Linked DNA regions of Cricetulus griseus. The protein of the gene in region 2 interacts with the protein of the main gene of each other region in a biochemical or structural test. Links are inferred from orthologs where the notes say so. Each region holds a gene or a part of one and is shown on either strand. Other genes may lie near its edges.

What was found.
Region 1: the proteins of Cacna1a (region 2) and Cacnb4 form a complex in vitro, tested with the Homo sapiens proteins (2 studies listed by BioGRID). The link is inferred for Cricetulus griseus from reciprocal best matches to the Homo sapiens genes CACNA1A and CACNB4.

What each region holds. Positions count from the first base shown.
Region 1 is NC_048599.1:121,898,705-121,902,521, reverse strand, and holds part of Cacnb4 (voltage-dependent L-type calcium channel subunit beta-4), read right to left. Parts: intron 2,259-3,817; coding exon 2,109-2,258; intron 1-2,108. UniProt on the Homo sapiens protein: The beta subunit of voltage-dependent calcium channels contributes to the function of the calcium channel by increasing peak calcium current, shifting the voltage dependencies of activation and inactivation, modulating G protein inhibition and controlling the alpha-1 subunit membrane targeting.
Region 2 is NC_048596.1:159,831,288-159,835,104, reverse strand, and holds part of Cacna1a (voltage-dependent P/Q-type calcium channel subunit alpha-1A), read left to right. Parts: intron 1-781; coding exon 782-888; intron 889-2,201; coding exon 2,202-2,876; intron 2,877-3,817.

The DNA.
Region 1 (3,817 bases), on a different chromosome or scaffold from region 2:
AAACTTAAGACTCTCGCCCCAGATCCTTTGAAAACAGAAACTGAGAATCCAAGGTGTTCTTTGGCCTTCTACTAAATAATTCAAAACATACCAAAGCTTGTTAGAAGAGCTTCGGGAATCTGCTCAAATGATTTCGCTGACCTCATTTCTCAGAGAAAGTGGAGATCTAACTGAGACTTGGAAATGCTTGGCAAATTCTCTTTCCCTGTTATTTGTGCAAAAATTGGGCAGAAGGACCCCTGGCAAGGATGCAATGTGGAGATATGTGTTTACCTGAATTCAAGTACTGAAGTACCAGTCAGAGGCCAGACAGCTCAATACAAGCAAGAGGACCTGGAGAAATGCTTCTTAAGTGTATGGGGTCGGGGATGTCCCACAAACTTTTCCTGCTATCAACAGTAATGGGGCTATCAATAGTAAGTCATGTATGTTTATAGCCCAATGATGAGCAGTTCTGTCACTTACTGCCTGTGGAAAATACTGCAACACATCTTTGGGTGTTTGTTTTCCCCATCTATGGAAATAGGAGTTATCTATACCTTACAGAGAGAAGCTGACAAATTAGCTTCTGTGAATGAGCCCTTGGTATTATTGTTTCTCTTGCCTTGAAGTAAAAAAAAAAAAAAAAGTGTGTGTGTGTGTGTATAATAGCGACAATGGTGGGAGATTATTGAGACACTTTTTAGTAGGAGACAATCAAGGCAAACAAGAGAAATAGGTAAAAATCTAATTTTTCTGAGAGTAGTAAGTATAATAGAAACAATTTATTTGGAAAGAGATGGAAATGCAGGGAAAGGGTGAGTCTGGAGTGGATACAACTTAAAATACAGTGGGGAAGGAAGGAGTCACTGGAACGGCAATAAGCACCTGAAGGAGATGGAGTGATCTGGTAACAGCAAAGGAGGAAGAGGTACCCAGTAGGAGGAAGGAAATGCAAAGGCCCCCTGGAAGGGCCAAGTGTTCCTGATGTGCTAAGAAGCATAGAGAATGAAATGTCTAGGGCAAAGGGAACCAAAGGATTAATAATAAAACACCCTAACAGAAGATTAATCATTAGAATGGTGCTTAACTATACCTCTATGATCTTCCATTACTATTGAAAGGTTTTCATTAGGGAAGACTTAAATAGCACAACATTTTTTTTTATTTAGAAAAATTAACTGGAAAGAGAGATTGAATAAAAGGAAAGAACTGCTTCAGTCAGACATGGCGATGCACAGTTGTGATCCAGCACTAGGGTGTGGGGCTGGTGCAGAAGAATTGCCTCACCAAAGGGAAGCCTGAACTACATAGCGAGATTGTCTCACAGCAATAACATTAGCAAAACTTGCTAACACATTTGAAATCTGTGCTTCAGGGCAGGTAGCAGTACCACTGAGACCCAATGCAGTCAGGACTTCTCTCAAACTGCTCACCCTCCTGGGACCTGCCACTTGCGCTCTGAAGTCTGTGTGCTGTTTCCTTTGACCATGGGAGGCTGGTACATTGCAGCTCCCCAGTGTCTTCAGCACAGTGTCAGCAGAAGATGACGGCACAAGAAACCAAGTAAAGAAAAGTGTGCCCAGGACTGTCCCGCACCATCACATTCTGAGTTTATTGGACACAGCTTTTGACAGAGAACCAAGCAAAACCACAACACTTGGTCATGTCAGCTGCTACCTGAGCTGTCTTGAGAAATGAGGCCCCATGTAACTCTCACAGAAGAAAACTAGGGTTTGCAGATAGGTTTTCTGAGCCCACAGGAAGCAGCTGCCACTGTGGAATTCATGTGAATTTCTGAGTTGCTGGAGTTCAGAACACAATGGAACCCCAAACCTTTGTGTCCTCCTCAAGAACAGTATGTGTGCAGTTAAGTGTCCCTTTGCTTTAAAAGTAGGCTCTCATTGGGGTGAAGGCAAAGAGAGTCTTCAAGAGCATGTTTCCAAGATAAAATAGAATCCAGCTGAAAACAGAGGTTAAGTTAAAAGAATGAACTGCTTCAGCCAGTTTTTAATAAGAAACTTGAAATTTTACCCACAAAATAAAGTAAGGAAGAAGGGAGGGAGGGGGGCAAAAGGGGGAGGGAGGGAAGAAAAAAAGGCTAGCTCATGAAGAAGATGGGATGTTACCCGCCATGGAATCGGCCTCTTTTCTGTTCTTGCTGAATACGTATGTTCTCCAACCGAAGAGGACTTGGGATGAAGCCAATCTCGCAGCCCTCTTTCACCAGCCTTCCTATCCACCAATCATTGTTATATTTCTGAAAGCAGAGAGGAAAGCTGCTATCAATAGTAATTCAGTTAACCTCACGTCTCAGTGTTTATTTCAGGGAAGCAGAGGGATCAAATGCTAGTCACCTGATGTACGAAGCCACATTACACATACAGTGCATAGAAACCACCAACACCGTGCTTTTGTATTTTGTAGGAAATGTTTTCAGTTGATAGACTAAAGGAAGATTCTTCAGGGGTCTTATTTGCAATGGCCTGAATGGTAAATATGATCTCTACTGTAACTCGTGGATTCTGCTGTCCTACTATCACAAAGACTCAAGAGCATGGTTGTGTTTCAATGTAAGTGAGCTAACAGTCTGTCAGCACAGTCTTACTCAGATTATCAGCAAAATCACATTGGCAATTATTGATTTACTGAGTCCCAGGGCAGATGTCAGTTTAGTCTAAGCCATCTGCCTCAAGAGAATGTTTCTACTGGTAATTTCTAGAAAATAGATAGAAATCATATTGTTTAAGCCTTCCAGGAATGAGTACAAAGGTGCCTTCATGGTCTTTATCAGCATTGACAAGAAACTCTTTTCCTCTGTGTGTGTGTGTGTGTGTGTGTGTGTGTGTGTGTGTGTGTGTGTGTGTGTGTGATGTAACATACCAACTCTAGGATTAGCACAGAGGAAAGTGGAATTTACATTAACTCTAATACTGACATTGTAACAAGGAAGAACGAAAGCTTCATTGAATCATCACGGCATGAAATTCTAAGTAATTCGGATAATCCCAAGTAACCTTCTCATATTCAGCCCTTTCTGCACAGAGCCCCTGCAGAAGCCAACCTTTGTGCCCATCTTGAGACTGAGCTGAAAGGAGCATGAGTTGATGTGACAGAGAGACTCCAACAATCTGACTCTTAGTTTCCTGTCTTTAATTCAGGATAATACACCTGAAATAACAGTCCTGCTTATTTTGTAATTAAGAAAAGGCAAGTGGACCCTTTTGGACACTTTGGTGCGTAGGTTTGGAGTTTACATTTTACTGTGACAGGGACAACAGACTATGAATCAGAGTTTCCTAGGGCTTCAGTTATTTCCTGAAATTAAGTCAGCCTACTGGGGCACTAATTTGTTAAGTTGTACCCCGGTGAACTTAAGGGCTGCTGCCTAAGATGGCTAATTCGACTTCCCAAAGGGGTTTACTGTGGTTCTAAGAAACAGCTATGGAACACCGAGCCTCTGACTCAATGTGAGTGACAGTTCTCTGGCCACTGGGGAGTGAGGTGCTGTGCAAAGTCATGAGCTTCAGTTCTCTCTGTTTGACTTTGGAACAAGCACCATTGTGTCTTTTCTTGACCTTTAAGCCTTTCCATTATTGAGAAAACAGAAAGTGTGCTGGTACCTGAGAGACGGCATAAAAGGAAGAAGTCGGCCCATTAGGAAGCATGTCCGTCCATGTTGCTGGTGTCCCAGGGGTTGAGCCCCCTTTCGGGAAAGGCCCCCTTAGCACCATCCCACCCTTCCTCATTTTGCCTTTGATTTCCCCAAAGTGATTAGTATGTTCTCTTTCTAAGATGCTTTTTATTTTATCTGCAAGACTTGAAAACAAGGAGCTCT
Region 2 (3,817 bases):
CCTAGAAGAGCCCGGAAGGTGGTGGCAGCCACCCTGAAACCCCACCCCAAGGCTCCTCTTATTGGTGGGTTTGTTTTTCTGTTTCTTACTTGTTTTCTCTCTGTCTTTCCATTGGTGGATTTTTCTTCTTTTTTTTCCCCTTGAGACAGGATCTCACTTTATAACCCTGGCTGTTCTAGAACTAGTTCTGTAGACCAGGTTGGTCTTGATCTTATAGAAATCTACCAGCCTCTGCCTCATAATTGCTGGATTAAAGGCTTGGCCAGCATGCCCAGCCTTTGATGGTTTTTCTGACTCCCCAACCATCTAGGAAATGGACTGAAGCACAGAGCCCAGCCCTCTCCCCTCATCTTCCCACAGGCTGATGATAGATCAGACACAGGACTAGGGGTGCAGCCCAGTAACAGCCCCTTTCTAGCTGTCACAAAGCCTTGGGGTTCATCCCCAGCACCAAAAAAGGAATTGGGGGGACAGATGTAGAGGGAGCCAGGCATGCTTGCATATGACTATTATCCCAGCACTGGGGAGGCTGGCCCAGGATGATCTCAAGTTCAAGGCCAGCCTGGGCTTAAAGGGTTAATAAGCTAGTGAGCCAGCCCACACACAAGGGGGTGGCAATACATTTCACCACCCAGTCTGACTAGGGACCTTAGTTCCAACTGGTTAAGGCCCAGGCCAAACTTGGTTCTCAGTACTTCAGATTTTGCCCCTGGCTGGCAGCAAAGTGGGAAGTGAGCCCCCAGGCTTGTTCTTGTGAACATGAATCCCATTTGCTTCCTAGGATGAACAAGAGGAGGAGGAGGCAGCCAACCAGAAACTGGCACTACAGAAAGCCAAGGAGGTAGCAGAAGTGAGTCCCCTGTCTGCGGCCAACATGTCTATAGCTGTGTAAGTGTCCCCAAGCCTCTGGTGCCGTTCAGGCAAGGATGTGGGGAGGGTTAAGGTGGCCCCTAAATGCTGAGCCTGGGAGGTGCCTTTGTCCTGTCACCCACTGTCACTGGGTATTTAATGAACATCTACTATGCACCTGGTCCTGTTGTAATTGCTGGGAAAGAAGCATCCTTGTTGGGGTTCGGGACACCTGTGTGTAGCTGTTTGAGTGCAGGAGATGATAAGTGAGCAGGACAGGTGAATAAATGACTCACTGTGGAGCCTCCAAGGAGCAGCTGGGAAGGGGCAGGGAGGGGAATCTGGGCTGCACTGCTGTTCTGTGCCCTGTGTGTGCATCCCAGGCCAGTGCTCTGCCACTGAGCTTCACTCCAGCCCCCAAAGTTGTGACTTTATAGCCAGGTGTGGTGGCATACACCTCACTCTGGAGGCAGGAACGGGTCTGTATGAGTTCAAGGACAGCTGGATCCAGACTAGGCTTAGTAACATCCTGTCTCCAGAAGACAAACAACCGTGTTAGGCAGGGCCTCAGCCTAACAGAGCTCAAAGGAGATGAGAGAGCCAGCAAGAGAGGGAAGGAAGGCTCTGAGGCGGGGTGTTTCAGGAATAGGGAAGACACTAGCATGGCTGGGAAAGGGGTGAGGAGACAGATGTGATGTAAGAACAGAGTAGGCAAGGCCTTGGAGGCCATCTAGAAAACTCGGGCTCTGGTTTCAGGGGTTTGGGCTCCTAATTAAGTGAGAGCCAGAGAGGGCTCTTGAGCAGTGGAGTGTCTAGACCAGATTTGAATGCTCGCAGGCGCCCTCTGGTTGTTCTTGGGGATGACAGCCTTGGGGTGGGGATGGTTATGCGGGCCTGAAGATCAGATTCAAGATCCTGGGCTGCCCATGCCAATGTGATGAGGACTGAGCAGGGTAGGGTGGTGGGTGCCGCTGGTTTCAAGTCATACCTAAAGGAAGGGCAGACATTTATTTCTCTGTGGATCAGAGGCAGTAACAGGGAAACTGTCTTCATTAAAGGAAGGTTCTCAAACACCCTCATTCAGAGCCACATCCCTGAAGGGAAGCGGATGTGGGAAACTGACCTAATCAGCAATCCAAATGGAAAGGTCAGTAAGATGGCTCCGCTGGTAAAGACCTGAATTCAGTCCCTAGGAGCTCACACAGAGAAAGAAGAGAACCGAACAGGGAACACCCACATACAAACACATCAATGTAATAAATGTTGAACGAACCCACGGGGGTGAGGGTCGCAGCCCTTGTTATCCGACACGGCCGCACGGTACAGCATGCAGCCCACTTCGTGCTTTGCAGGAAGGAGCAGCAGAAGAACCAGAAGCCCGCCAAATCGGTGTGGGAGCAGCGCACCAGCGAGATGCGCAAGCAGAACCTGCTGGCCAGCCGCGAGGCGCTGTACGGGGACGCGGCTGAGCGCTGGCCCACCGCCTACGCGCGCCCGCTGCGGCCGGACGTCAAGACGCACCTGGACCGGCCGCTCGTGGTGGACCCGCAGGAGAACCGCAACAACAACACCAACAAGAGCCGCGCGCCCGACGCGCTGCGCACGACCGCGCGGCCCCGCGAGAGCGCGCGCGACCCCGACGCACGGCGCGCCTGGACAGGGAGCCCTGAGCGCGCCCCTGGCCGGGAAGGCCCGTACGGCCGCGAGAGCGAGCCGCAGCAGCGCGAGCACGTGCCGCCCCGCGAGCACGCGCCCTGGGACGCGGACACCGAGCGCGCCAAGGCCGGGGACGCGCCCCGCCGCCACACGCACCGGCCTGTGGCCGACGGGGAGCCTCGACGCCATCGCGCGCGCCGCCGGCCCGGGGACGAACCCGAAGACAGGCCGGAGCGCAGGCCGCGTCCCCGCGAAGCCGCCAGGCCAGCCCGCGCTGCAGACGGCGACGGCGATGATGGAGAACGCAGGCGGCGACATCGACACGGGCCGCCCGCTCACGACGACAGGGAGCGCAGGCACCGGCGCAGGAAGTGAGTGGGCTCCGGGAGGGATCTGGGTGCCCAGGTGGGCCTTCAACTCTCTCCGGGCCGAAGAGTTTCCCTAGTAGCTTAGGGTGACAGTCACTAGGCCCAGCATCCTGTAAGATTCGGGGATGTACCCCCAGTGGCCACAGCCGGGTTAGCAGATGGGGAAACAGATGCAGTTCAGGGCTAGAATGAACCCAGGGCCTCATATTCTGTGTAAGAGTCACGCCCCTCACTGGAGGATTTTAGGATGGCTCTCTGCAGCAGAGCCATCCTGTCACAGAGGAATTCTAGCCTGGCACTCTATCACTGAGCCACACCTAGCTCCGCACCAGGGAACTCTAGGCCAGCCCTCTACTGCTGAGCCACGCCCTGAGCCCTTTACTGCAGGATTCTAAGCAGGGACTCCACCAAGGAACTATATACCCCATCTCAGCGTTATATACAAAAAGTCTAGGAGCCGGGCGTTGGTGGCGCACGCCTTTAATCCCAGCACTTGGGAAGCAGAGGCAGGCGGATCTCTGTGAGTTCGAGGCCAGCCTGGTCTCCAGAGCGAGTGCCAGGATAGGCTCCAAAGCTACACAGAGAAACCCTATCTCGGAAAAAAAAAAAAAAAAAAAAGTCTAGGACCCTGCCATCTGTCGTCTTACACAAACAGACCTAAGGAGAGCCCGTAGTCCCCACGAGATTCCTACAGCTTTTTCATTGTTTGCTGCTTACTCTTGAACCGGTGCACTCTTGACATCAGTGTTCTCCCCTGAGGATGTAACTACCTAGAAATGACTGAGTCGTTGCTAGAATTAAATAAGTCACCTCCAACGGCTCACATGGGCTGTAGGGCGTGTGAAGCACTGGGGACTCAGCACCTGCAACTGTCATTTTGCCAGCCCTTTGCTTACTTGAGGGTGGTCATGGGAATCTGATCTCTCAGACATAAGGGGAGGTAT